4 linked regions of the Diceros bicornis minor genome follow. The protein of the gene in region 3 purifies or fractionates together with the protein of the main gene of each other region. This does not show direct contact. Links are inferred from orthologs where the notes say so. Each region holds a gene or a part of one and is shown on either strand. Other genes may lie near its edges.

Evidence for each region.
Region 1: the proteins of CSTF2 (region 3) and CSTF3 fractionate together in Homo sapiens (co-fractionation; 4 studies listed by BioGRID and IntAct, with this or other methods). This does not show direct contact. The link is inferred for Diceros bicornis minor from reciprocal best matches to the Homo sapiens genes CSTF2 and CSTF3.
Region 2: the proteins of CSTF2 (region 3) and SYMPK purify together in Homo sapiens (affinity purification with mass spectrometry; 4 studies listed by BioGRID and IntAct, with this or other methods). This does not show direct contact. The link is inferred for Diceros bicornis minor from reciprocal best matches to the Homo sapiens genes CSTF2 and SYMPK.
Region 4: the proteins of CSTF2 (region 3) and CPSF2 purify together in Homo sapiens (affinity purification with western blotting; 3 studies listed by BioGRID and IntAct, with this or other methods). This does not show direct contact. The link is inferred for Diceros bicornis minor from reciprocal best matches to the Homo sapiens genes CSTF2 and CPSF2.

Annotation. Positions count from the first base shown.
Region 1 is NC_080770.1:35,104,659-35,111,889, forward strand, and holds the start of CSTF3 (cleavage stimulation factor subunit 3), read left to right. Parts: upstream 1-4,212; 5' UTR 4,213-4,326; coding exon 4,327-4,353; intron 4,354-7,231. UniProt on the Homo sapiens protein: One of the multiple factors required for polyadenylation and 3'-end cleavage of mammalian pre-mRNAs.
Region 2 is NC_080773.1:20,037,166-20,045,176, forward strand, and holds the start of SYMPK (symplekin), read right to left. Parts: upstream 3,021-8,011; 5' UTR 2,946-3,020; intron 1-2,945. Other genes in the region: FOXA3 (hepatocyte nuclear factor 3-gamma), read left to right, coding at 4,009-4,077. UniProt on the Homo sapiens protein: Scaffold protein that functions as a component of a multimolecular complex involved in histone mRNA 3'-end processing. Specific component of the tight junction (TJ) plaque, but might not be an exclusively junctional component. May have a house-keeping rule.
Region 3 is NC_080781.1:93,991,980-93,999,296, forward strand, and holds the start of CSTF2 (cleavage stimulation factor subunit 2), read left to right. Parts: upstream 1-4,296; 5' UTR 4,297-4,559; coding exon 4,560-4,620; intron 4,621-4,647; exon of another isoform or gene 4,648-4,809; coding exon of another isoform or gene 4,810-4,810; intron 4,811-5,365; coding exon 5,366-5,444; intron 5,445-6,062; coding exon 6,063-6,232; intron 6,233-6,920; coding exon 6,921-7,057; intron 7,058-7,317. UniProt on the Homo sapiens protein: One of the multiple factors required for polyadenylation and 3'-end cleavage of mammalian pre-mRNAs. This subunit is directly involved in the binding to pre-mRNAs.
Region 4 is NC_080763.1:37,946,335-37,953,351, reverse strand, and holds the start of CPSF2 (cleavage and polyadenylation specificity factor subunit 2), read right to left. Parts: upstream 3,008-7,017; 5' UTR 2,944-3,007; intron 1-2,943. UniProt on the Homo sapiens protein: Component of the cleavage and polyadenylation specificity factor (CPSF) complex that play a key role in pre-mRNA 3'-end formation, recognizing the AAUAAA signal sequence and interacting with poly(A) polymerase and other factors to bring about cleavage and poly(A) addition.

The sequences.
Region 1 (7,231 bases), on a different chromosome or scaffold from region 3:
GCTGGCGGCCCGGGTTCGGATCCCGGGAGCGCACCGACGCATGGCTTCTCCGGCCATGCTGAGGCTGCGTCCCACATACAGCAACTAGAAGGATGTGCAGCTATGACATACAACTATCTACTGGGGCTTTGGGGGAAAAAATAAATAAATAAATAAAATTAACACACAGTGAAGTACGATGCAAATGTTAAAAAAAAAAGATGGAAGAAAATCTTTATTTTCATTATTTCATTCCCTACTTTACTGGTAGGGAGTGACATCCACAATAAACTAAGTAAAAAAGGTGTACAATAGTGTACCTTTTGTGAAAGAAATAAGGCGAAATATATGCATTGCTTATTTTCACAAAAAGAAACACTAGAAACATTAAACTGAAAACTAATAAAAATGGTTACCTATAGAGGATGGGAATGGGTTTGAGTGGGTGGAGGGGATAGAGACTGACGTGAAAACTTCTCTGAGAATACCTCTTTACATAGTTTTGATTCTTGAGCCAAATAACGGGGTTTTCAGATTTAAAAATAAAATTACATCTAAAAAAGCCAACATTAAAATTGAAAACAAATGGAAAGAGTTGAACTTAACTATATATCAAATTGCTCCGGTAAACTCCGAGAGAGAAGAATTATTTCAAGTGACTTTTGTACAAGGCATTCTGACTGAACATCCTTAATGTAACATAATCTAAGGACAAAAAGAACTTTAAAGAAATCTTAAACCTCACTCAGCAAATGTATTGTTATTGATTTTTTTGTGTGTGTGTGAGGAAGATCAGCCCTGAGCTAACATCTATTGCCAATCCTCCTCCTTCTGTTTTTTTTTTTTCCCCCAAAGCCCCGGTAGATAGTTGTGTGTCACAGCTGCACATCCTTCTAGTTGCTGCATGTGGGACGCGGCCTCAGCATGGCCAGAGAAGCAGTGTGTCGGTGCGCGCCCGGGATCCCAACCCGGGCCGCCAGTAGCGGAGCGCACGCACTTAACCGCTAAGCCACGGGGGCCGGCCCAGTGTTATTGATATATTGATATTTTAGTATTGGTATTTTAACTTAGAAACTTTTAAATATATTTTGTAGGAACCAAGATTTTCAGCATAAGAGAAAAGAGATACAAATGTAAAATCAATAAAGAAAAAAATGTTAAATTTGAATTGGAAATCAATATACGAACTCATAATTTAAAAAATACATTTCCTATCTCTGAGCACTGAAAAAGCCTAGAAGCAATGACATCCAGTGGCAAAGAGAACATCTACTGCCCACATCTTGAGTCTAATTACTATTCCGAAACTGAAGGAACCAGGATGCCTGAGACTGAGTCCAAGTCTGTGACAGGGAAAGTACATAAGTGGGCCTGGGACATCCTGTACCACTAGGCCAAGAAGTTGTCCAAGACTAATGGCATCATGTCAAAAAGACATAGGATCCACTCACCCTGTACGAAGGGACTCGTATTGGCCCCAAAAGAATAATGATTGCAATTGATTGAAACAACTTACGTCTTAAAAAACTCATAAATCCACAATGATACTCAAAAAGAGAAAGCCAGAAAAAAAAATTCATTTTTCACTACTTGAAGCTTAATATTAAAGCTTGAAGTTTAATATTAAATTGAACTCTTTACTTCAAAAATTGGTCATTAAAGGGAAAAAATTAAGCATTTACCCTGTTTTTTAAAGGTTAATGAGGAAGAAGACTTTTTCACAAAAGAGCTTTCTATTGATATAGAAGGAATAATGGAATTAGAACATTTTTATTTAATCACCAAATATTTCATTATTAATTCAGGAAAGATTAATCAATAGACGACCAAACCCTGGTGAAAATTTGCAGGGGAACAGGAAATGGACACCACGCCAAAGTCTTACTCTGCAATTACTTGTTAACTACAAAAAGTGAACTGTACCTAATGGAGAGATCTGATGGTCACCACCTTAAACAAGTGATCAAACTTAGCATCAATCAGTAATTTGATGTATCTCCTGATGTCATACAAAACGAAGTTCATAGCTATACCTATGACATATTCTTGCCAAAATGTTTAACCTGAATCTAATCACTCCAGAAGATGGAATATTCTTAGAGACAACTGGCCAGCTCTCTCAAAAAATTCATAAAAGATAAAAAGATGAGTGGACTATTTCTAGAATAAAAGAGACTGAAGAGATATAACAACGAAATGCAATGCTTGAAACTTGATTGGATCCTGATTTGTGAAAACTTCCTATAAAGACACTTTTGGGATACCTGGGAAAATTTGAATATGGACTGAATAGTATATATTAGGAAATACTTATTAATTTTTTTAGGTGCTATAATGGTACTGTAGATACGAAGAGTGTCCTCATTTCAGAAAAAACAAACTGAATTATTTTGGGATAAAGTATCATTATGTCTATAATTTACTTTCAAATTATTTTGCAAAAACACAAACTATATCTATAAATACATACATATACAGCAAACATGCCAAGATGTTAGTCAGTAGATCAAGATGGTGGGGATACAGTACAGGTATCTATTGCATTATTCTTTGAATTTTTATCTAAGTTTTTCATTAAAAATATTGCGGAAAGATGGCATTTGAGTCAAACTTTGAAGAATGGAATGTGAATACTATTCTTCTTTTTGTTTGTGTGAGGAAGCTTGGCCATGAGCTAACATCTGACGCCAATGCTCCTCTTTTTGCTGAGGAAGATGGGCCCTGGGCTAACATCCGTTCCCATCGTCCTCTCCTTTAGCCGCCAGAGTACGTCTTGACAAGCGGTGCGCCCGTGCGCACGGGGGAACGGAACCAGGGAACCCCGGGCCACCGCGCAGAGCGCGTGAACTTACCCACTGCGCCCCCGGGCGGAACCCTGAATACTATTCTTCAGGACTGTTGTTCTTCCATTAGTTCATCATAGACAAACTCAGAAGCAGATAAAAAGAGAAAAATTGTGACAATCTAGAGATAACTACTTTTCATGTTTTGAACTACTGTGTGTATACTACATATTTATACTACACATCCTATTTAATATACACTGTTTTCGTTTTCTGCTTTTTCACTTAACAATATGATGGATGTTTTTTCTGTCAGTAACTGTGTATCAGCATCAGCTGACTGGCTGCATGCCATTCCATTATAGAGATACATTTAACTAGTCCTGTATTGTTGGATGGTGTGATAAACATGTTAACATACCTCTTTTGCCTGTGTCTGATTACTCGGAAGGGTAAGAATTCAGGCTGTGGAAAGAGCGGAGGTGAAAAGATGTGCAGAGGCGGGGCGACTGAGCAGAGTTAAGGCATGTATGGGGAAAGCTGAGAAGCTGACTTGGTCTGGGGCGTAGGCCCCTGTGGGGAAGGAGGGTGGAAGGAGACATCGCATGCTGAGCCTCGAATGAAAGAATTTGAGACTTGCTCTCACGTAATCTCAAACTACGCCAGGTACTGTTTCGAGCACTTTCTCCTGTGTAACTTACCTAAATTGCAAGTACTACTGTTATTCCTATCGTAGGCCAGGAAACTGAGGCTTGGGGAATTTCAGTCGCCCGAAGTCACCCCGCTAGTGAGGAGGTCAGCCCTCTAGTGCGCCGCAGGCAGCACAGACAACGCAGCTCCGGAGCCTGAGCGCTATGATCCCCACCTTGCCGACGAGGAACCACGGTGCGACGCTGAGCCTAAAACGCGGCCTGCCTGTCTTCACAGCCTCAGACACAATAGCAGGTGGTAACGGTGTATGTTAATACGGTTTGATCTGTCCCTCTCATCCCCCAAAAGGGTAAAAAGCATTAGCCGAGACCATAGAAAACCTCGATGGATTCATCTCCAAAATATTGGAGTCATTTCACACGGCATTCCCCCCAAGTGGCCATCTGCCTGAACTGAACTGACTGGCAGTCAGGCTACAGCGGCGTAGATTCCCCACAGCTCGACGATTCCATTCCAAAGGCGCGCGAGCCTCCAGGCGGAACGGCTTCCCGCCTCCCCGCCGGTGGCAGCCAGCGCCGCAGCAGCCTTTTCCCCCCAGGGCCGTGACGTCAGCACAGACCTTGGGCCCGCCCCTGGGACCTCTCTGCTTCTGCGCGCCCGAGTGACCGGTCAGCTGTGCTCTCAGCTCCGCCCGCTGCCCCGGAAGTGAATGCAGAAGCCACACCTCCCTTCTCGGCCGGCAGGGGCGCAGCCATTTTAATTCATATCTGAGTGGGCGGTGGCGTTTCGTGTTGGCGGTCTGGCTCCGCTGGGCAGGGGGTAACTTGACTGGTTTGGGGGTGGGTTTTAGTTTAATTTTTCTTTTCTAGCTTCGCATCGCGGGCCAGTTCGCACCTTTTAATCAGCTGAGGCCATGTCAGCAGACGGAGCCACGGAACAGGTGAGGAAGGAGAGTGGTGGGGCCTCGTGGCGACCTCTTCTCTCCACGTCTCAGTTGGTCCGAGTACTCCAGCCATGTTCGCCCGAGGAAGGAGTCGCGGGTCTAATGAACCCGCAGGACCGCGTGCAGAGGGGTGGTGGGAATGGGAGCAAGATCTGACCGAGATTTAAAATTATTTTTTGGCTTTTCTGTCTTAGGCGCTCATATGAACAAATACTTGACTTAGACAATAGCCGGGAAGCCGCTTCCTGCCGTTTAAATTCGTGGCACTACTCCGATGGGATGCCTGCCTTTGATACCGTTTTGACGTTAGGAATTGATTATTTTAACGTGTACCCGCTGTTTTCGAAAAACTCAACAATATTCCCTCCGTCCCCTCTGCTGTATATACTGTACCCAGAAATAGGTTACTAGTTGAAGAAATTAAGATGAGACTAATTGGAGAAATAGATTCTTGCAAGAGCGAATGCAGAAGGAAGTTTGGGAGTAGAGCATGGTTATGCTGAGATTTGGGAATTTTGTGGCGTTCTCCCGCTTTCTTCTTTCTCTATCCACATTTCATTTTCGTTTTTCCAGCGATACAAATATTGCAGAATTTGATACATCGAAAGTGAGAATAAGTTGTAAAGAAAAGCAGCTGTTTTAGTATTGCATATAAGTGACGCTTAAATATTTTGAAATTCAGATTTTTAGATAAACAAGTTCTTTTGTTCTTTATTCAGAATTTTGTAGGATAGTATTTATCTCTTAGTTTGAAAGAGGAAGCTGATGTTTTAAAAGATGTCATTCAATTTGTTTATCGATGTAAGTCCTGGTATGTTTAGGTAAATAATTTTTAAAATGGAGGCTGGCTAGCCTGCGGAGTCTCAATTTCTTGAAATTTCCCTTTGCCATAGCAACGAAATACACTTAGGTTTTCGTTTTTCAAGTCCCCAGCTTATAACGTGGAGGCTGTTCTTGGAGGTTGACAGAGACGAGGCAAAATTCGAGCATTCCCGTCGAGTAGTCTGGGTGACTGTAAATTGCATTATGTCGAGAAAGTTTGGCTAAACTGAATTTTGTGTTTGCTTGTCGATTGATTTCAGTTCTGAAATCTTCGCAGTGTTTACATTTCACATGCTGTTAGAATAGCCAAAAATGCCAAATCTTAAAATTATATCAAATCTGTTTATATATAACTACCCTTTCTGTTTTTCTGGGCTCATATTTTGTCATCTGAAAGTTGAGGAGGAGTAATGTACTGAGGTTTCATTGAAAGTTTTTGGAATCCATTGTTAATTCTTAAATTTATCTAAAATTGTAATGACACTGAAATGTTGCTATGACCTGGAATAGTTCACAATTGTGGTGTTTTAAATGGGAGAGCTGGTGGTGAAAACTTAAGAGAAAAAAATTTCATCCAAAAGTTTTATTTTGCGAAGTTTAGAACATAGAAAAAAGTTGAGAAAGAGTGCAGTGAACACCTACAGTACAGTTCTTCACTTAGAATCAACAACTATTAAACGTTTTGCTATATTTGCTTTCTCTCTCTGTACATATTTATTTGAAAGTCAGTGGACACGTTTCAGCATTCTCTTATATAAGGACATTAATGCCGTTCTATGTAACCGTAATACCATTTTCCCACCTAAAAAAATTAATAGTAATACCGTATCATTTATAAAATCAAGTCCATATTCAAATTTCCCCAATTGTCCCAAGTGATTCATACAGTTTTTGTTTTTTTTTTAAATCAGAATTTAATCTGGGTTCACATTACATCATTTGGTTATGACTCTTGAATATTTCCTCTGTTTTTGTCTCCCCTAGGATAATGTCTGGTTGAAGAATCCGGGACAGTTTTCTTGTAGGACTTTTCATTTTCTGGGTTTATTTGATTTTTGTGTGTGTGGTGTCATTTAACTTGTCCCTTCATCTTCTGTATTTCCTGAAAACTTTATGTTTAGGTGTAAACTCAGAACTTTGATAATATTTGGGTTAAATATTTTTGGATAGAATACTTTATAACGTTACATCCAAAGGCACTTCATGCTAGGTTGTTCCACTATTTAGTGATGATTAAGTTTGATCACTTGGTTAGGGTAATGACTGTGGATCTCTTCATTGTAAAGGGTTATTTCCCCTTTTGCAGTTAGTAATCTGTGGGTTGATACTATGTTCCTCAATAACCTTTTACCTAGTTATTTATCATCAATTGATAATCATTGAATAAATCAGTTGTTACATTGGAGGTGGGAAATGGTAGTTTTTTAAAAATTCTGGGGGCCGGCCCGGTGGCTTAGTGGTTAGGTGCGCGCCCTCCGCTGCTGGCGGCCCGGGTTTGGGGCCCGGGTTTGGGGCCCGGGTTTGGATCCCGGGCGCACACCGACGCACTGCTTCACCGGCCATGCTGAGGCCGCTTCCCACGTACAGTAGCTGGAAGGATGTGCACCTATGACATAACAACTATCCACTGGGGCTTTGGGGAGAAAAAGGGGGAAAAAAATTCTGTTATTCTGTCTCTGTTTACTGGCTCATATTTCTCTGTAAAGAAGGAATTTCCTGTCCCCCCCGTCCCTCCTTTTTAAAGATTATCACTGTGGTCTCAAGAGTTTCTTGTATTTAATAGTATGTTAAAATCACCTATAGCCATTTTTCTTTTGGATGCTCAACTTATCCTAACCTTTATGATGGCTCCTGGATCTTTTTTCCATCGATCTAAAAAGATATTTTTGAACATCTGATTACCGACAGAGAGTCATCTTCATATAATCTTTTCTTCAACTTTTTGATATGTTTCAAACATGCAAAAAAGTAGAGCTTCAACTCATGGTTAATCTTGTTTTTTCCATGCTTTCGCTTGCTCTCCCCACCCCTATTACTTAGAAGCAAATCCCCA
Region 2 (8,011 bases), on a different chromosome or scaffold from region 3:
ATTTATTTTTTCCCCCCAAAGCCGCAGTAGATAGTTGTATGTCACAGCTGCATATCCTTCCAGTTGCTGTATGTGGGACGCAGCCCCAGCATGGCCGGAGAAGCGGTGCGCGCCCGGGATCCGAACCCGGGCTGCCAGCAGCGGAGCGCGTGCACTTGGAGCGCGTGCACTTAACCGCTAAGCCACGGGGCCGGCCCACGGAGTTGTTTTTAAAAAGGAGGGGGGAGACTTCTGGGCATCTGTCCCAAAGCCACACTGGCAAAATTATGAAATAAGAAGGCTATCAACTACAGCACTATTCCTAATAGCAAAAGACTATCAGAACCCAAATGTTCTTAAATAGGGAGATTGGTTGGAAAACCATGATATATCCACATAATAAAATACCATGCGACTGTAAAAAGGAATGAGGGAGGGGGGAAAAAAGAATGAGGAAGATCTCTCCACACTGATAAACAGTGGGCTCCAGCAAATATTAAGTGAAAACAAGCAAAGTGGAAGACGTTTTCTGTATTCTCCTTTTTTGCAAAAGAAACGGAAATATGTATACATGTTAAAAAAAGAAAAGAACTGAAAGGATAAACCAAAAGGCAGAAATGGGAGGAAAGGGTAAAAAAAAGTTTGGTGGATCTCAATGTATTATCATCATAAAAAGATGTCCCGACAGCCTGCTGCACCACAGAAAAATATATGCAATTTTGTCAAGTTTGTGTAGTATACGCAGAATGACCTAAGGCAAGAAACAGTGGGGTCTCAGTTTCCTCTTCTGTAAAAGAGATAGGAACAGTCTTTCCATCCCAGGACTCTTCTGAGGGGTAGATGAGTTAGGAACGTGAGGTAAGTATAGCTACTATTTTTATGTACACAGAAAAGATCTGAAGGATACTGCACAAACTGTTAACAATAATTTGAGGAGGGTAAGAAGATGCATCTTTCAAAAGGACCATGATGTAATGTATACAAGAGTTACTCACCAGATGTCTGCTGAATGAATGACTATCCAACAGCCTCCTTCCTAGTCTCCCTGCTGCCACTCACCCCCACATCTTGCTTAGGGTCAAAACCAATGTCCCCACTATAAGCCTACAAGACCTTATATGATCTGGCCCCTTTTACCTCTGCCCTCATTTCCTTCCCAGCTTTCTCTGCTCCAGCCACTCTGGCCTCCTTCTTGTCCCCTGAACATGCCAAGCATGCCCACTCCTCAAAGCCTTTGTCCTTCTCTTCCTTCTGCCTGGAATACTCCTCGCCCCAGATACTGGCACAGCTCCCTCCTTCCGCATTTCCTTCAGGTCTCAACTCAAATATCCCAGCAGAGAGGTATTCCCTGATGACCCTACTTCAAATTTCAATTTCCTCTCCCTCCCCAACACCGACTCTTTGAGGCAGGTACTATTTTTTGTTGTTGTTGTTGAGGAAGATTCGCCCTGAGCTAACATCTGTGCCAATCTTCCTCTATTTTTCAGCATGTGGGCCACCAGCACAGCATAGCTGCTGACAGAGCAGTGTAGGTCCACGCCCGGAACTGAACCTGGGCTGCCAACACAGAGGGCACCAAACTTAACCACTAGGCCATTGGGGCTGGCTGGAGGCAGGTACTATTTTTAACCTCCATTTAACAGACAAAGAAATTTGAAGGCCAGGGAGGTAAAGTCACTTGACCGAAGGCTCATAGATTGTAAGATGCAGACCAGCACTATGGGCGCAGAATCTATCCTCTTCAACACTCTGCTGTACGCCTCTCTGAAAGGAAGTGCTTCTCCACCCCAGGTCTGTTCATGGAAGCCAAGGGGCACATCCACCCGACACCAGCATACTGCTGTCCCCCATCAGAACAGAATGAAGCTTTCACGACGAAACTTTCCACTCTTTTCATGATGATAATACTTTGAGATCCACCAAAATGTTTTACTCTCTGTCCTTCCTCTTCCACTTTTTGGCTTATCCTTTTATTCTTTTTAAACATACACATACTTTCCTTTTTTTTTTTGTAAAAAGGCAGCACAGAATAAACACTGTCTTCCATTTCATTTGTTTTCACTTAATATATGCTGGAGCCCACTCTCTATATCAGTGTATAGAGATTTTCCTCATTCCTTTTTCCCTCCTCTCTCATTTTATTTATATTTTACTTTATTATGTGCATGTCATCAGTTTCTTCCTGCCAGTGTCTCTATTAAAGAACATTCGAGGAGTCTGCAGTCGTTTGCTATCAGCAACATGATTGTTTCCTTTCTCTCCCGTGCACTCCTTATGGAGTACCACTCCCCCACTCCCACCTGGGAGTATGACGACTCCCTCTTTTACACAGAGCGGCCCCAGGAGGATCTTTCATTCATTCAACGAACACTAACTGGGTGTCTTCGGTGTGACCAGCACCCACCCAGTCCCTGCCCCCGTGGAGCTCACGGTCACAGACACGATCAAACAGCCGCACCAATACAGGTCCAATAACAAACCAGACCACACGTGACATGAAGGAGAGGAACAGGGACCTATGAGAGCGTTCAGCCTGCGGATTTCGGGACGGAGGGCGGGAAAGGAGGGCCTCGCAGAGGAAGTGACGTCGGTGCCAAGACCCGAGAGATGAATGGGAGTCAGCCAGGCGGAATGGGTAAAAGGGAGACAGCGTGTGCAAAAGGCTGAGGCGGGAAGGCGCAAGGCGAGTTTGAGGAACCGGAAGGCCAGTGCAGCTGTGCGAAGTGGGGAAGGAGCAAAGAGGCAGAGTCGAGGCCGGCGGGGCGGACGCGCCTCGGGGGCCACGTTGGAACTTTGCCTGAGGCCACTGGGCAGCCACGGGAGGGTCCTGAGCAGGGGAAGACAGTGAGGTCCCGAACGTCACTGCTCCCCTCTTCACAGCGCCCCCAACCCCCGACCGGCGCCCCTGCCGCTTCAGGGTCCCTCTTCCTTTCGTCGCCGGGCCCCCACGCCGCCCCCCCGCTCACCGCAGCTCCGGCCTCCGTACCCCTCGCGCCCCCTCAGCAGCGCCTCTTCACAGACGCCGCCGCCGCCATCTTCCGTTCGCCGCCGTGACACTGCGCACGCGCCGCACACACAAGGGTCGCCGGGAAATGCAGTCCACACCGCGGCCCGACCCCGCCCCTCCCTCACGCCTCTCGAGTGGCTTTCCGCCCTCCCCCAGACTACTCCCGGGCGGCTCTTCATTTCCGGCCTCCTGACGCCATCCCTTCTGGGAAATGTAGTCCCTTGGCGGAGGCGCGGGACGGAAAGGGAGCTAGAGGCTTCTGGGAAATGGAGTTCACAGAGGTTCTCAGTCCCTGGACGGCTGGCGTTAGAGGGAGTGGCGAGTTCGGGCGGCGAAGCTCCTAGGTCTTGGAGGTGGTCTGTTGCCCCACTGGGATCTGAGCAGAGGCCCCGATCCCATCCACCTTTGGTCCTGACCATTTACACAGTCTGGAGCATTTCTAGCTGTCGGAAGCTTCAGTCTTCCAGTGCGATCAATGAGAATATGGTTTCGAGGGTCTCTTACTGGTCCTTATACTGGCATATCCGGATCCCTGGAGTGCACTGCGCTCTGAGCCCCCTTTCCTCCGCGGCGGTCATGCCGCGCTCTGGCTATTCGCTTCTCCTGTCGAGATGATGAAACCCCCTGGGGTAGAAGGGCCCCAGAGTTCTGCCCTCGGGGCCCTTAGCATCAGTAGTGTCTCCCACCAGTAGCTCCCTCACTCTTCTGCCATCTCCGGCTCTCGCGTCCCTGGGCTGCGGCTCCCGACGCCTGAGGTCTATCTCTTCGCAATCCCGCAGGGGGCGCCCCAGTCCGAGCGCGCCGCCCTCGGGGAGGCGGGAGGGGAGCCCGGGGCGGGTGAGGGCGGGGGGGTGTCCCGGCTATAAAGCGTGGCCGCCTCCCGCGGAGCCCGGGACGGCTGGGACCCCGGGCGGTCAGACGGGCGTGCCCCGGTCAGAACTCGGGCCGTGCCGGCTGAGAGATCCGAAGCGTTCGGTCCCCCCGGGCCGGAGCGGGGGCGGGGGGGGGCGCAGGCCCGGGGGATGCTGGGCTCGGTGAAGATGGAGGCCCATGACCTGGCCGAATGGAGCTACTACCCGGAGGCGGGCGAGGTGTGTCCTCGGGGATGGCTGAGCGGGAAATGGGGGGCAGGAATCGGGGTGCGGGCTTATGTGGGGGCAAGGACCGCGGTGTGGGCTCAAATGGGGGCCCCAACTAGAGTTTAGGAGCGGAGGAACTAGAGACACGAAGACCAGGTGTAGGAGTCAGGGACGGGGGACAAGGCACGCGAGCGCGGTTTAGGTAGGCTAGTCCGCGTGAGGGCTTAAATGGGAGTCAGGAAAATTTAGGCAACGGTCATGTCAGAGCTTAAACGTCAGGGTTGGGTGTTAGGGACCTAAAATCCAAGGAATTAAAATGAACAAATCAAAGATAGGAATCAGAGCTCCAGGACAGGGGACAGAGCTGGAGGATTAGGAAATGGGATTCAAAATTGGGGGGAAAGACGGGAACTAAGAGATAGGAGAGAGAGGTCACCATTAAGGGAAGTCTGACTTGGGAGCTCAGGGTTAGAATATAGTGTTAAAGGTGGGGGTTCTGAGGTAGAAATCAGAATTAGGGTTCAGGGCTAAGGATCCGGGTAGCAATCTAAGATAAGTTCAGAAATTGAGGTTGGTGCTCGGGGATAAGAGATGGGGATGCTCAGAGAAGAAGCTTGCCTTGGGGAGTCTGAAATAACAGGTGGGTTGGTTTGGGGTTCACATAGGTAGGGGCCCAAGTGGGGTCAGAATTGCGAACCTGAGAGCAGGAGATGTGAGCAATAGCACTGGCCAGAGAGGGATCAATCTCCATTTCCCCCCATGGCTACTTAGGACCCTCACCCCTCCCAACTGAACTTCAGTGGTTTAATGGTTATTAGAGACCCTCAGCAGGAATTCTACTTGTTGGAGGCTGGAGGGTTTCAGATTTCGCACCTACCCCCCTCCTTCCAGCAATCTCCAGTAATTGCTAATGTCCTCAGCAGTCTCATCTCAGACAAGGCCACCCTGGAGTAAGGGGGCGGGAGTATATCTTAGTCCCCTCACTTCAGCAAACAGCAAGTCCTTCTCTAAGTCTAACTCCCATTCCTCTTACTGCAAGGACTCCTTCTCCTTAGCTCACTGTCTCCATAGTCAACATTGCGAAGTGGAGAGAGGGGCAGAGTCCTAGTCAGAGGCTTATGGGGGTCTGGACACTTGGGTTCCTAACCTGGAAGGAGACTGCGGGCTTCAGTGGGGGTGTGGGGCTGGAATGGTTGAGTTCTCCAAGGAGACTGAGATCTGGAAGTTACAGGGGCCCCAGTGTGCCTGAGTCCTGGGTCTGGGGTTTGAAGCTGTAGGGTGGGACTCCTGGATCCCCAGGCCTTCAGAACTTGGCAAGGTGCCCAGGAGGGGCCAGTCCTGGGGCTGCAGAGGTGTGAGGTGCACGTGGGGTGGGGCAGGCTGGCCAGGGAAGGGATTGGGACTGTTGAGAGGTGGAGGTGGGGCGGCTGGAGGTGTCAGTTGTTTGGTGGGGAAGGCAGAGACCAGCTTGGACGTGGAGGCTCTTAGGTAGTGGGGGATCCCACTGGGTTTACCCCCAGAGAGTTCAGACTCTGGGGACATGATTTAAGGGAACCAACCACAAATCTGTTTTGGAGGCACATCTTCAGAAGTAGATTGTGGGGGTCTAGGATGGAGAAGTCATTATTTGGGGCACAGTCTGAAGTTTAGGGGACAATTGGTGTGGAAATTGTGTCAGAAATGGAGGGACAGTCTAGAGATGATCAGCATTTGGGGGCATATTTTGGAAGAGTCAGCATATGGGGGGCTGGAAATGGAAATACCGTCTGAGGGTCTCCCCAGCTTTCTCATCAGCCGAGCCATCTCCTCCCCTTGGGTCAGACCAATGGGAAGAGAAACATCTGGGCTCACTCAGCAACAGAAAACTGAGAGGGCCCCTAAACTGCTTCTTGCCCACCACACCCTCCTGCTAGGATGATGTTGACCCCCGCAGGCTGGCTCTCTGTCTGGAAGGAAATTGGGAAGTTATCACCCTGGGGTGACCCCATTGGCCTCTGGATCTCACAGATCAGCTGGTTCAACTGCTCCCACATTTTAGAGATGGAAAGTCTGAAGCCTCTTAGAGTGTTGGGGGCTGCTTGAGGTCCTGGGCTGGGACTGGGACTAGAAACTAGGCTTCTGGCTTCACACTGCCTCCCTCTGCTCCCTGTCACACCCTCCTCCAGAGACAATAAGGAAATGAAAGGGGAGAAATTCCAGCCTCCTGGGGTGGGGGTGCAGGTCCCCTGAGGGCTTCCCCCATCTCACCCCACCCTGGCGGGGGAGATCCGGCTCACACCCGGACACTGGGGGTTCATCCCAGCCCCGGGGCGTGGGAAAGCCTAGGGTGGATTAGGGCAGCTGGAGTGCTTGAGGTCAGACCTCAAGGAGGACTTCCGGGTGGGTGGGGAGCCAGAAAAGGAGGGCCCTGGGGTCCCAGTCTGTCCTCCTCTGTGATACAAGAGAGTCTGACTGAGCTGGAGAAGTGGGGTCCATCACCATCTGAGTCCATCACCTTCTCCTCTCATCTCTGAAGGACCCTCTTTCCATATTCTGGGGAGGGGGCAGAACCAGCCAACCCCGGGGGAGACCGGTGCATGCGGGCAGGGGAGTAGCTGGGGCTCCAATTTCCATGTGAGACTTCTGGTGAGATGGTGGTGCTGAGGGAAGGAGACAGCTAGATACAAGGATGAGCTGAAGGAGAAAGAGAGATGGGAGGTGGGAGAGGAGTGGGGTAGAGAGAGACAGAGGGAAAGATAGTGCCAAGGGAGGGAGACAGAGATGGGAGAGACAGGTTGGGAGGGGAGAGGACAGGGGAGAGAGATGGGGTTGGGGAGAGTCACAAAGAGAGAAAGGCAGAAGGGGGAGAGATGAGGGAGAGACAGGGGGAGACAGCAGGGAGGAGAGGGAGATATAAAGGGAGGGAGCATGGAGAGGAGAAAGAGAGTGGGAAAGGCAAAGACAGTGGGGCAGCGGGGGGTTGGGGAAATGGACATGGGGAGTGGGAGAGGGAGGGGTGTAGACGTACTGAGGCAGGGAGAAAGATGGACAGAGACACACAGAGCCAACAGGGAGATTCAAAGAGACATGGGAGAAAAGAGCTACCTGGAGACACGTAAAGAAAGAGGGGAGAGTTTCTGATTGGAACTCAGACCTAGGTTGGTTGCCACCTGTCCCTGACTTCGTGAGTGACCCTGGTAATTCCCTTTTCTCTCTGGACCTTGGGACCTGCAGACACTTACGTGACAGGGGACAAGACAGGGACCCATGGACTCATAGCAAAGGTGGCTCCCGCCGGAGCTACAGCAGCAACCCCAGTGCTGGGAGACCCCGGGGCGGGGGGGGGGGGGGGGGGGCAGGGGGAGGGAGGGAGCAGGGCAGCCAGGCAGATGGAGCATTGAGGGAGAGAGGATGGAAGACGGTGGATGAAAGGGGTAGATACACACAGAAAGAGAGAAATCACCGTCCACCACGCATCATATTTTCCCTTGCTTATCTTGTTCATTTCCCACTGGACTATCATCTCCATGGGGACAGATGTTGCAGTCCGTCTTGGTTCCTGCTTGTATAGCATAATCCAGAACACGGATCTGGAGCCAGACTGCCTGGATTCAGAATCCCGGTTCTGCCCCTTCCTTGCTGTGTGACCCCAGACAACCTCTCTGGGCCTCAGCTTGCTCATCTGTAAAATGGGCGTCATAATCCCGTCTCCCCCCAGCGCCGTTGTAAGGCTGAAAGGAGACTTCCTGTGAAGTGCTTGGAGCAGTGCCTGGCACAGAGTAGGTGGCCAATAAATATTTGTTGAATGGGTGCAAGAGTATATAGAGGGTTATTTAGAGAGCCATAGCAATGTCTATCATATTTCATTGAGCTAAGACGCAAGTTTTTTCCCCATTTGAACTTTCTGAAAATGGAATGGGTTTTAGAGTCAATGGTGTCTAGCGATTATAATTGACAGTTTTTTTTC
Region 3 (7,317 bases):
AACCCGAGGAGGGGGTCATTGGAACCTCTGATTCATAGCCAATCAGTGAGAAGCACAGAAGACAACCTGGACTTGCAACTGGCATCTGAAGTAGGATGCAGGCAGTCTTGTGGCAGAGCCTGTAACCTGTGGGATCTGATGCTATCTCCAAGTAGATAGTGGCAGAATTGAGTTCAAGTGTAGGATACCCAGCAGGTGTCACAGAGAATTGCTTATTGTGGGGAAAAACCCCCACACGTTTGGTGACCAGAATTGTCAGTAGTGAAGTGCTCTGTGTGAAAGTAAAGGAGACACACAGGAGAGGAGAATGGTAGGTTTTTCCAACACAGTAGGGAAATGCAAATCAAAACCACAATGGAACACCACTTCACCCCATTAGGGTGGCTATCATAAAGAAAAAAACAACAGAAAATAACAACTGTTGGTGAGGATGAAATGGGAACCCTTGTGCATCGCTGGTGGGAATATAAAATGGTGCAGCCACTGTGGAAAATGGTAAGGCGGTTCCTCAAAAACTTAAACATAGAATTACGACACGATCTAGCAATTCCATTTCTGGGTATATACCCAAAATAATTGAAAGCAGGGACTCAAACAGGTATTTGTACACCCATGTTCATAGCAGCATTATTCACAATAGCCAAAGGTGGAAGGAACCCAAGTGTCCATCAACGGATGAATGGATAAACAAAATGTGTTTGTTTGTATACATACAACAGAATACTAATCAGCCTTAAAAAGGAAGGACATTCTTTTTTTTTTTTTATAATTTTATTTATTTGTTTATTCCCCCAAAGCCCCAGTAGATAGCTGTATGTCACAGCTGCACATCTTTCTAGTTGCTGTATGTGGGACACGGCCTCAGCATGGCTGGAGAAGCAGTGCATCGGTGCACGCCCGGGACCCGAACCCAGGCCACCAGCAGCGGAGCACGCGCACTTAAGCGCTAAGCCACGGGGCCGGCCCAGGAAGGAAATTCTGACACATGCTACAACATGGATGAAACTTGAAGACATTAGGCTAAGTGAAACAAGCCAGTCACAAAAGGAAAAAGACTGTTATGACTCCACTTACATGAGGTACCTAGAGTGGTCAACTTCATAGAGACAGAAAGTAGAATGATGGTTGCCAGGGTCTGGAGGGAGAAAAGAATGGGGAATTAGTGTTTAATGGGCATGGAGTTTCAGTTTGGGAAAATAAAAAAGTTCTAGAGATGGATAGATGATGGTTGCACAATGTGAATATACTTAATGCCACTGAATTGTACACTTAACAATGGTTAAAATGGTAAATTTTATGTTATGTGTATTTCACTAGAACAAAAAAAAATAGCAGGGCCGGCCCCGTGGCTCAGCGGTTAAGTGTGTGCGCTCCGCTGCTGGCAGCCCGGGTTCAGATCCCGCGCGCGCACTGACGCACCGCTTCTCTGGCCACGCTGAGGCCGCGTCCCACATACAGCAACTAGATGGACGTGCAGCTATAACATACAACTATCTACTGGGGCTTTGGGGGGAAAAAATAAATAAATAAAATCTTTAAAAAAAAAATAGCAAACTAAAACTATCTCTGAGGTTTTATAAGAATCAAGTAAGATCTATGTAGAAAAGCTTTGTAATCTATATGGCTCTTCACAAACATTAGCTCTTTTTAGTCATTATCACCCTGTTTACCCCAACCTGATCCCATTACCCACATGCTCTACCCAGCTATGCTCACCCAGCAGTATACTGTTGGAGTTCAAGTGCTGTCCAATGATATCCACCTCCATTTTGCTAAATCCTGGATTTCATGTGCCAAGGCAACAGTGTCCCATAGTTCTGGTTCTGAAACAGAGCAAGCCTCCAAATAGATATAAGTTTTAGACAAGCCTGGTGGATTCTAGGGAAAAAAACTCAGGGACTTTCTCCTCTTTACTCAGTTTTCCCCAAAGCTTGGCTTGGAAGCAGTCCCCACTCAGCAACAGGAGGTCACCATGGCATTGCCAAGAACAAAGTAAATATTCCTCCACTTCAGTTGACCACCTAACTCCCTGGCTTGCTACCCAGCAACATATCTCATAAGGCATATCTCTTTGAGCAGGTGAACAATCCTGAAATTTCTTTGAAGGAAGAGGATTCTGGGGAAGGAAATGTATTCATTAAGCATGAATTGAGAACAAAAATAGTTAGATAAGAAAAAAAAATGAAAATGAAAATCACAAGACTAGAATGACCAGCTGTGATGGATTGGACAACTCTCTGTAACCTCAGAGTTGAACCCTCACATATTCCCAGAAAGCATAGATATTGCTGCAGAACCAGTGTGATAATGCAGTAGTGCAAAAGTTAGGAATGGTGTTTCTTTCTGCAAAGCAAGCCACTTGGTACCTACACCCAGATACTGACCAGGATCTGTGTCAGCATTCAGGTGCTCTCTGAGAGACCCAAGTTTCCTTAGCTCTTTTAGGCGCTGCTCATTGAGGACTTCTCCTAACATAGGTAATGCTACAGTGCCATCTGGAATCTTTCTCATGCAATATGTCTATCCAGGAGTTGCTGCCTTTCCAGATATTCCCTGGAGGACCAATGAGGGATTTCATTCCATGACTCTTTGAGGAGCTTTAAATGTGGGTCAAACATGAAGTAGTACTTACCTGGCCTTGGAAGTTTGACTTTCTACGGCCAGCAGAAAGAACCCGAGTCTCTATGCTCTCACAATCTTGAACATCTTTGCTTGCTTCACTTGTACCTTATCCAAGATTCTTAACATCATCAACAAGATAGGATAAGAACTCAGGACTTTTCCACAAAACTTTCTGCCAATGCCCCACAAATCTTAACTGTGGTTTCCCAAATTCTTTGATTCTCCATTATGTACCCTTTCTCTTTTGCTCAAACCCCCCAAAATAACACTTATTCTATATATTTAGCCCCATTTGTGTAGAAATGCATCTTTCCTAGTTCTCCCCCTACCTCTTCATACTGCACCTATATCGTTGTGTTAACTGAGCCTCAGTCAGAATACCTACAACAGCATCCAATGTCCCACCTTCTGTCTTCATTTTTCTATAACCCAGAGGCAAAAGAAATGTGTCACTCTGGGAGCATTGCAGTGACAGGAAGACTCTCGTGGACAACAGGCACTGAGGCAGGGGTCACTAGCACATGGCCTATAAACGAAACACAAATGTTGAAAAGCAAAAGCTTAGGAAATATCCCTCCCACACATCTCCTCTTTTATAACTAGTAGAATAGGGCTGGTTGATGAAGTGATAGAACCAACAACCCATTCTCCACAGACGGCTGATGGCAGCAGAACAGGCCAGGTTAAGTGCCTCAACCCATTCTTGAGTGGTTCATTACTATTAGTCATTGACCCACCATCACCAGGTCACACGCTCTCAGTTCTTTTCCAAAAATGGTAATAAAGTATATTGAGCTATCCATATTCTCTCAGTTATACTGGAAGGCAGAAAATACAGCAGTTAAGCATTCAGCCTCTGGAGCCAAAGCAACCTGAGTTCAAACCATGCTTTAGCTGCTTGCTGTGTCCCACCGGTCAATGATGTTTTCGGATACCCTGCCTGCCAATGTCCTCCGCCGCCCCACCGCCTCACCACCGCCAAACACACGGAGCCCAGGGGCTATGCGAAAGCAGCCAGGCACGTCTCCCTTTACCTCCCCATCTCCTCCGCTATGCCGGCGCCTTCACGTCGAGAGCCCCTCACTCTCTCAAGCTGCCGCGACCCTCTTTCCGCATCTCACTCCGTACACTCACAGCTTCTACAAAATGATAATCCCCACGCTGGTGGGCGGGGCCAAGTATTCCCCTCCCCTAACAGGGCGGGATTAAAATGAAAGTACCGGTTGTTAGCAAACGACTTCCCTTACCATGGTAAAACCGCTACCGCCATCTTTATTGAGGCCGACGATTACTTGTTAGCCTAAAAAAATGAATAAGGAATTCTACAAACTAAAATCCTTCAAATGAGCCTGGGGCCGCCGGAATCCGGCTCCGAAAGGAGCTACAGCCCAGCCAGAGTGGGTTAGCGCTCTCGTGGACATAACGCGCGCCTGCTGCTGACGGAATAACGCCAGGGGAGGGGCCCGCTGTCCGCCCGGCCCAGGCGCTTCCGGCTTACGCGCCGTACGGAAGCGTATTCGGCGCTGGACTCGCGCGCCGTACGGAAGTGTGTTCTGGCGCACCGGAAGCCGCCGGAAGAGAGCGATGGCGGGTTTGACTGCGAGAGATCCTGCGGTGGATCGTTCTCTACGTTCGGTGTTCGGTGAGAGGAATTCGGTGGAGCCAAGCATCGGTGGGGGACAGAAAGAGAGGGAATGGCGAGGAGTGTCCCTTGCACCTCGTGAATCGCCGCGGGAGCCGGTTGTGGGTCGGGCGTGCAGCTCTACCTGCCTATCCTGTGGGGCGGCCAACCTGGTGGACTCGTGGGCAAAGTGACGCTCCCCTAACCCCGAGGTTTCGCAGCCTTTCCACGATGTGCCTGAGGAAGTTAAATAGCGTTCAGCTTCTATGTGTTTCTCCTTCCATGAGCTTCAATTATTATCTAGAAGCGAGGGCGCATGGCAACTGTCCCGTACTACTTCTCACTCCCTGTCCCAGAATACAGATTATGTGCTGAAGGTATAGATCCTTGTGCCCACTTTCCGCCTTCTCATGAGGACTTTCATTCTCTGCTTTTTGCCCCTAACATTTTAGTTCGTCGATAACGGTAGCGACCATCTGGCATCTTAAGGTGGATTGTAAATAAATGAATGAATGAACGACTAAGACCTCGTCAAAGAAATTTTAAAGAGGATCGAATCTATTCTGAGTAATGTTTTCAGCCGAAATAAGTTGTTTTTTTATCAAAGTACATGTGATGATTTAAAGCACCTTTTGGAAGGACATGACAAAACAGTTCAGAATAATTTTTAAACATCCTCCACTACATTCATGGTCATTCTCCTTTGAGTGTGTGTATGTGTGGAAATACGGACATAGAAGCCGGTTTTAAAAATTATAATATTGATATTTTTAGTTGTTGTTGTTAAGACTTGGAGACTTTCAGGTAAATACCAATGCCTAAGTATTTATTTTCACCAAAGTTAAAGAAAATCTAACACTTGTCAGATCAGTCTGAGAAGTGATATTTAGGAGTGCCTACACCTTTTGTAGTTAGTCTCAGTGGTTTATTTCTCTTGTAATTAAAGTTAGCAGGCAAGATTGAAATCTTGTCTAAGGGAGTACCACAGAACTGGGATTGGAGAAACACCATATTTTGAGCCAGTTGTTACATTTTCAATGATATAAGTAGACACTGTGTACTTTCTCACTATAAAGATCTAGGTTACAAACTCAGAACTTAATATGCTATTTTCTTCCTTAGTGGGGAACATTCCATATGAGGCTACTGAAGAGCAATTAAAGGACATCTTTTCTGAGGTTGGACCTGTTGTTAGTTTCAGGTGAGATCCCCTTTTACTCCTTGGTGAGAGTTTCTTAAAAAGCCCCACAAATTTGGCCCTTAGTAATAGTGGCAAGGTTTTTACTGGTGACTTTATACATGCATTCTTTTTTTTTGTTTGTAACAGCTTTATTGAGGTATAATTCATGTACCATTCAATTCACATTTAATTTTACTAAAAGGTACATTTTTTTTCTTTTTTTTTGTTTTCCTTTTTTTTTTTTTTTGGTGAGGAAGATTGGCCATGAGCTAACATCCATTGGCAATCTTCCTCTTTTTGCTGAGGAAGATTGGCCCTGAGCTAACATCTGTGCCCATCTTCCTCTATTTTGTATATGCGACGCCGCCACTGCATGGCTTGGTGAGCGGTGTGTAGGTCCATGCCCGGGATGCACACCTGCAAACCCTGGGCCACCGAAGCAGAGCACGTGAACCTAACCACTTTGCCACCAGGCCGGCCCCCATTTTTTTCATTTAAAAAAATGTTTAAAAAATATTTCAGTGAGGCAGAGTGATGAGGTTATTTGTCTTACAGTGGACCAGATCAGGACATAGCAACGTTAGCAGGAACCCTGTGTGTATGTAACATTTGTGCCTGATACTTGGTTCTGCTCTCCAGATTGGTATATGATAGGGAGACAGGAAAACCAAAGGGTTATGGCTTCTGTGAATACCAAGACCAAGAGACGGCACTTAGTGCCATGCGAAACCTGAATGGGCGTGAATTCAGTGGGAGAGCACTTCGAGTAGACAATGCTGCCAGTGAAAAGAACAAAGAAGAGCTAAAGAGTGAGTATAAACCCAAGTTGTATGTAACATGAGTTAGTAAAGATGTAACAATGAAGATTTTCCATTTATGATATGTTTTAGCATCTGCTGAAGTGATTAGCCACACACTTTCTTTACTTGACCCATCTGAAATGCCTGCATTAGGGAAGTGTATATCTTTGAGAGACAAGGTAAAATTGACTTTAGAGAGTTGACTTTAGAAGTCCTTCAGTTGCCAGGGAGTTGATTTCCAGTTAAAGATGAGTTCAGGCTTACCAAGCCATTAGTAGTGTTAACTATGTCATTAGTGTTTGCCATTCCTGTAACTATGCCAGATCTGTAAATGGTGGGACTACTAAGGCGTTCTTATGACTTTTTTCATGAGGTAATAGATCCAGGAATTCCATTTTGAGGTTAACATCCTTTTCTGTTTAAATCTTTTGCTTAATGACTTGTCAAAAGAAATCGATATGCCTCATTCCTAATTTAACATTGTCCACCCATGTGTCCCAGCTTTCCTCTGAGAGCAGAAAATACACTCCTTCACTTCCTCCACAGAAATAAGAGACTCGTAAATCACTTATTTCTCAGCTCCAGAGAATTTAAAGTTATCAACAGGTCCTTACAGCAGCCCTGGAAAGTAGATACTTGAAGTGGTTTAGCTCTTTATTTTGTCTTCTTAACCATTTTGTACTTTCTTCCTGATCAGGCCTTGGCACTGGTGCCCCTGTCATTGAATCACCTTATGGAGAGACCATCAGTCCTGAGGATGCCCCTGAGTCCATTAGCAAAGCAGTTGCCAGTCTTCCACCAGAGCAGATGTTTGAGCTGATGAAACAGATGAAGGTGGGAGGAGGCATTAGGTTATGAATAAATCAAATCACATCAGATTTACAAGGAGTTAATTAATAAAGTTAATGGAAATGATTCTCTGAGCTCAAATAGAAAGTGTGCCTATTGACCACCATTTCTTGCACCTTCAATATTCTATATGTGCACAGTGTATTTCACATTTCATGCAAAGAGCTTTCCATTTTTGTTACACCAACACACCTACACAATCTGGCTGGGTTTTTGTGGCCCATAGATATCAGATGTAGATATTA
Region 4 (7,017 bases), on a different chromosome or scaffold from region 3:
GTACTGATGCTGCCAATTCGGATATGCCAAAGAGAAGCCATAAAGTGCTTCCTTTAAGTGAAAATGTGCAAGTTCTCGACTTAATAAGGAAAGAAAAAAATCATATGCTGAGGTTGCCAAGATCTACAGTAAGAAGGAATCTTCTGTGAAAATGTGAAGGAAAAAAATTTGTCCTAGTTTTTCTGCTGCACCTCAAATATGTATGTATAGGAAAAAACATAGTATATATAAAGTTTGGTACTATCTGCGGTTTCAGGCATCCACTGGGGGTCTTGGAACGTATCCCCCTGGATAAGGGGGGACTACTGCACCGCAAAAGCAGGAGGTATGTGTTCCTTGCTCCTCACTGCAGCTTCCAAACCATGTCTTCTCCTTCCCCCTTCAAATACTCCAGTCCCATCACAGCTCACGCTACCCAGCTAGTTCACTATGAGCCTTCTCCACTTCCTCATCATCGCTGGTATGCAGTAATCTGACCTGTCATTGAGGACTTGAGTTCCTGACTCAGCCTTTTTTTTTCAGGAGCTTCAATACTGACTTCTTAGTCCCCTGACTTTCTCAACTCCAACAATCTTCACTTCACTTCAGCCACCCACAATCACGTTTACACCCTAGACCTTATCACTACCAATAAGCCATGCCACTTTCAAAATTTCACGTTCAAGCACCTCACCCTCTCACTACCACCTTACTTACTCTAGCATTCCCACTGCAAAAATCCTTTGGCCTCACTGGTATCTCTAACCCACTGACCACTTTTTCACTATCCATGACCCCCTCCTGTCTCCATTCTTGTCTTGCCATCAATCCACGATCCCTCAGGATTATTTTGCAAACACTCTCAAGTACCTTGATGCCCTAGCCCTTCTCTGTACTAGCGTGGCAAAACCCCAACCCTAACTGACTCCAGTCCTTCACTTTGTCTTTTCCAGCAGCTGAACGCTGCCAAAGGAAAAAACCCAATCACACAACTGTGCTGTTTGCTCTTTAAATTCATGACCAAAGATCTCAAACAGGCACTAAGCGCTACCTATGAATCTGATTTTTCTTAGTAGGTTGACTTTCCATCTCTGAGACTGTTATTTCACATCTCTTCTCTGCTCAAGCATCATGTACCACCCCCTCCACCTTACTCAAAGCTGGTAATCTCACTTCATTCTTCAATTAGAAAATAAAAGTAATCAGACAGTCACTTCTCATCTTCCAATACCATATCTACTAACCTATTTGCGTGTACACTGCTGTGTCTCCTATTATATGGAATAAAGAGCCCTGCTCTGGTCCAAGGCCAGTGTCCTATGTGTGCTCTGGATCCCATTCTCATTTACCTTCTCAAGGACTGAACTTCCTCAGTCATTCCTTCTTTCCCCTGCATCATCTATGTATCATCGATGCACCATTCCTATTAGCATACAAAGATACTCTAGAATTTCCCAACTTAAAATAACCCTCTCTTAATCCTACAATCCCTCCAACCACTTCCTCATTTCTGCTCCCCTTTCACAGCAACATTTCTCAGAATATTTGCCCACAAACATGTCTCCACTTTCTTTCCTCCCATTCACACCACCAAATCTGGCATCTTTCCCCACGATATCCTAGAAGTGCTTTCACCAAGGTCACTGACAAACCTCTATACAACTTAGGCCAATGGACATTTCTCTGGCCTCAACTCTCTGGAAATCACAGCAGCATTCAGTCAAATGAACTGCTCCATCCTCCTTGAAACGCCCTCCTTTCTCTGCTTTTGTGTCAACCCTCTCTTGGCTTTCCTTCTACCTAACTGGCCACTCCTCAATCTCCTTTGTTAATTCCTCTTTCGCTCTTCAGCCTCTAAATGTGGCCATGGTTTTCAGCAGGACTTCTTTTCTTCTCTTTCTAGGTAATCTCACCCAGTTCCATAGCTTTAAATATCATCTGATCTCTGATGGCATCGTCCTTGATTCCTTCCTTTGCTTCCCACATCCAATCCATCAGTAAGTACTGCATTTTTTGCCTCCATTTTATTTCTCAAATTTCCTTCTATCTCCACTGTCACCAAGACCTCTAACTAGTTTGTCTATTTTCCCTGCCTCAAACTTAATTCTCTCAGACACAGTTTTCTGACCACCCTAACGTCCTTCCCCACCTCAGTTACAGCCTATGACATCATTCTAACGCCCTCAAAATACTTCCTGCTTTCTATTCTGGCAACGTCTGTGTTTACTCTCCTTGTCCGTCCTCTTCTCTCTTCCTAACCCCTACACTAGAATATGGACTCCATGAAAGTACAGACCTTGTCTATTTGGATCAGTTATATTCCAGTGCCTCCATAGTGCCTGACACAGAGTGGCGGTCAACAAATGCCTCTTGAATAAATGCATGAAGCATGACTAGTATTACCTGAGCTTAGTGCCCTCACCACACTATTAACAGTTACCTATTTGCATGCATTTCCCCTTGCTTGGGAGAGCTCTCTGAGTGCAGGACTAGGCTTGATCTATTTTTGTATCCTTACTATATTAGCACGTCTTACACATAGTGGTTGGTCAATAAATTGTTGTTGAAACAAACAAGTTCAAATTAAAAATATACTGACTTAACATGTTCCTATTTGTCAGGTATGAGAAGTACAAAGATACTAATTCTCTATTTGATGAAAAATGTTTATAAATATAATTTTGGAAAGGACCTAAGAAATTCTCACTGCCAGAAAGCTTCCTGTACCACAATTATATTCATGGCCTAAGAGAAACTCTTTTTCTACTGAAATCTACCTTAACTCTCACTGTCTTTATTTAGATTACGAAGTGAAAATAAAAAGTATCTTGCAGATAGAACTGAATGAGTTCATGTTAAATTTTTTTGCAGACAGACCCAGATTTCAACAGATGAAAATATATTTTTATTACAATTTCTCATAATATAATAAAACTATATCTTTATTAGATATTCATTACTTACTGATATCTCAGTCGTATATCGGATGAAACACCATGAATTCAAAGGAAGAGTTCTTTATAAATCTAAAAAGTGAAGAAACAAGGGTCTCATGAACATGGTATAACAATTTACTTCTGTTATTAATTATGGTGTTTAACTTCTATGTCTTGTTCTAAGATGAACACTGTGAGCAGCAACAAGTAGTATAATATATGGTCCTTTTTTAAAAAAGAAACCATAATTTTAGGAAGTTTAAGCTTACATAAAACAAGAATAAAATAATAAAAGATAATAACAAAAGACAAAAATAAATAATAATGAACCAAATTAGTTATTATCAGAGGCTGCAATATGCAGTTTAGGAAATAAGATTTTAAAAATTGACATTAGTTTATGTTACAGGGAATCATAAAGAGGTGGGATCTTAAAATATTTGTTAAGGGTTGGTAGGACCTGGGTACAAAGAGACAAAGAGAAAAGGTACTCAAAACAGGGGAATAACACGATCAAAGGCACAAAACAAAAATTTACAGAATACTAGTGAAAAAACTAGCCTGGCACATTTTCATATAAGCAAAAAATGAAAGAAAAGGCCTAATGCATAGAAAAGGGCCTGATAATAAAAGGCCTTGGTAACTTTGGATCTAGCTCTACAGGCAACAGAGAAACATTTTAAGATCCATTATCAAGTAAGAAGATGACATGATACAGGCAATTCTGTATTTTAAGAAAATTAATTGATGTGTATGACTGATGAGATAAGAAGATACAGAAACCAGGGAGATAAAAGGGGAGAGTATTTAGCAGACCACTTCCTCCTTTCAATTTTGCTGGTTTTATTTTGAAACTAAATTTCTTTAGCCTCAAATGTACTTTATAATTCTATGACATGAATTCATTAGTCGTTATCTAGGTAACCAAGGTCTGAAACTCTACATGTTTGATTCCTTCTTTTACTTCTTGAACAGTGTATTACCTACTGCTGAGCATTTTTCCCTCAGAATGCCCGGCACACGTATCATTCCCTGTCCATTCCTACTGCCAGTTCCTTAATGCAGGGCCTCATTACCTTACATTTGGGTTCTCTGTTTGCCTCCAGCCTTTCCTCCCTTCATCTTAACCTAAATATTTCTGCTAGACTAATCTTCAGAAGCACCCCTGCACATATTATCCCTTGCCCAGAAATCTCTGAAAGGCTTCTTACTGCTTGAAAAAACTAAAAACAAAAACCTGAATGCCTTAACTGGCATTGAAGGGAGCAGCAAGGCCCAGCTCAAATTCCACCTCCTTCCTAATTCCTCTATCATTAGTCTAGGCTACAGCAGCTCTGTCCAACAAAAACATGATGCAAGCCACAAATGTAATTTAAAATATTTTCACAGCCACAGTGAAAAGTTTTAAAAGTGAAATTAATTTTAATATATTTTATTTAACTCAATATACCCAAAATATAGTCATTTCAACATGTAATCATTATTAAAAAATAATTGACATATTTTATCTTCTTTTTTCATACTAAGTCTTCAAAATCCACTGCGTATTTTATATTTACAGCACATCTCAATTTGATCTAACCACAATTTCAAGTGCTCAACTGCTACATGTAGCTTGTGGCTACTGTAATAGCACTGGTCTAGACTCTTAAAATCGATGCTTTGGACCGTAGAACATTATCCTCTGCCACTCCTAAAGTGCAGGTTGGCACCACTCTATATTTGTTGGCACCACTCTATATTTATGTACATGTCGTTGGCTTGATTTTAATGGAATCACCAACCATTTAGTCTCCAGACTAAAAACTCTGGAGTCACCCTCTTACCACCAAATTGGCTGCCCCCAGTTGAACTCTATTTGACATTTCAGACATGTCTCTCTGACATCCTTTACTATCCTACCTCAGTTGAGGCACTCATTGCCTTACCTGAATGATTGCCATTTCCTCTCATCTAGTTTTCCTGTTCCAAGTTGACCCTCCACACAGCTGTCAGAGACCATCCTAAAATATACTCATGCCCCTACCTTGTGCAAAGTATTCACTGGCTTCCTGCTAACTAATGAATTAAATCTGAACTTCTTAGTTGGAAATCAATGTCCTTCACAAGTTGATCTCAACTTTCCTCTTGCTTCACCAACCACCCCTGCACTGCATGCTCAAGCACATATATTTTCCCTCTCCCTAAGTACACCAAACTTCTCAAGTCCCTGCATCCCTGTACTGCATCCAGGAATGACCTTCTCCTGAGCCTAGTAAATTCCTTTAGACCCTTCATGACCCACCTCAAATATTTACTCCTTTACAAAGCTTTTTTGGTGTCCTCAGGCCGTTATTTATGTTTACCTAGCACAAAGTAGGCACAAACAATATTTGTTGAATGTATTGCCAAAGAGTAAAAGTGATCATCTTTGGGCAATACCAAGCATAGTGCTCAAAGCAACATAAATGTGTACTGAAAGATGGAATGAACCCTAACCATACACATTCCTTCACGGCAGTGATTCCGAGCATTACTACTTCATCTCAAAGATCTATCGCAGTTACTTGCTCTCTCAATAATGACCTTGCTTGTTGACGCCAACTAAGAGGAACTATACAAAATCCAAGGGAAGAACGAAGGAATCTGGGTTGGCTCTCGAGCTCACTAAGCGCGAAAAGTTTCTCCCTGGTCAGTTCGGGGAGGGCAGCAGTTTCCTAAAAGGTTCAAAGGGATTGTAAAATTTAAAAGCGGGGGGGGGGGGGACAATTGATAACTCAGATTCCCCTGGGCACAGGGGGCCAGACTTGCCGGGTTATGGCTAGTCTGACTGCTGTTTGCTGAAGAGCGTGCACAATGCAGTGATGGTGGAAGTGATGGAGAGAGGGAACTGGAGGGCCGAGACGGTTTTAATAAAGCACAGCGACATCTAAAAGGTCTTCGGAGTCGATTAACTAAAAAGGACGCCCACTTTGCGCCCACCGCTGGGTAGCCTCGTGATCTCTCAACCCGAGAGACAGGAAGACCCCGAGCGAGAAGGCTGAGAACACGGTAACGACGAGCCAAAGGAGCAAAGCTGGCGTCGGATTAACTCCTCCTGCGCCGAGACTGAAAGGGCGAAGGGAAACAGCAGCAAGGAAGGAAGGAGAGCCTGGGAGTGAGCCGTACGGTCTGCTCCAAAAGCCCGAGAGCTTCAGACCCCTGGAGAAGCCACTTCTCTTTCCCTCGCTGGGCACTTCTGCCAGGAACGACCAGGACAGTCGCAACCGAAACCCCGGGAGCACGTCCCCAGAGGAGACCCGGTCGGAGTTGGAGCCAGGCTCTCCCGGAGGGCCGAAGACGCCCCCTCCCCCATCCAAAGGCGCACTTTCTTCCGCCCCCACTTGCCTCGTCAGTCCTCCCCCAACGCCGTCCACTGCCCTGCCCAACCCCTAGTCGAATTCAGGTTCAAGAGTGAGAAAAGCTGACGTTCGCTCAGCACCATCCGTGAAGATCCGCCAACAGAGGCCCCTCAATGGCGGCCGCCATTTTGAAACTGGAGGCGCACGGCTGAGGCGGGGAAGACCCAGGGTGATACCATCTTCGAGGGGGGTGGGGCCAAAGCTATAGGAAGGAGGTGGCGCTTACACCAACCAGTCTCGTTCTCTGGGACTGAAATTTTATCTTTAAGTAATTTATGATGTGTAAAAGCTAAAATAATTTGAGAAATATCAAACATGAAAAGGAAGAAGAGGGATGATTTCCCGTGCCGCCCCTCTCTTCGAGCGGGCGCGGCGAATGGTAGGTCCCGAGGCCGCAGCTTCCGCCGGCGCCGGTGGCTGGGTCGCCACTACCCTAGGTCGTGGGGTCGTTGCTGGCACCGAGGCCGCAGGTGGGTCTGGGGTCGCAGGTTGTGCAGACGGGGAGGGTGCGTCTCCAGGAAAGACCTCTGTGTGTGTATGGGAGGGGGTCCGGGCCTCGCCAGGGCCGGAGCGGCCCAGGGCTTCCTGAGGCTTCCAGCGGAGGAGACGGGGAAAGGGAAGAAAAATAGGGGTTTCTTTACGGTGGGCGGCTGGACTTTCGTTTCCGCCTGGCTGCTTTTGGAAAGAGTACTCTGAGGATGTCATAACCGGAAAACTTCTTT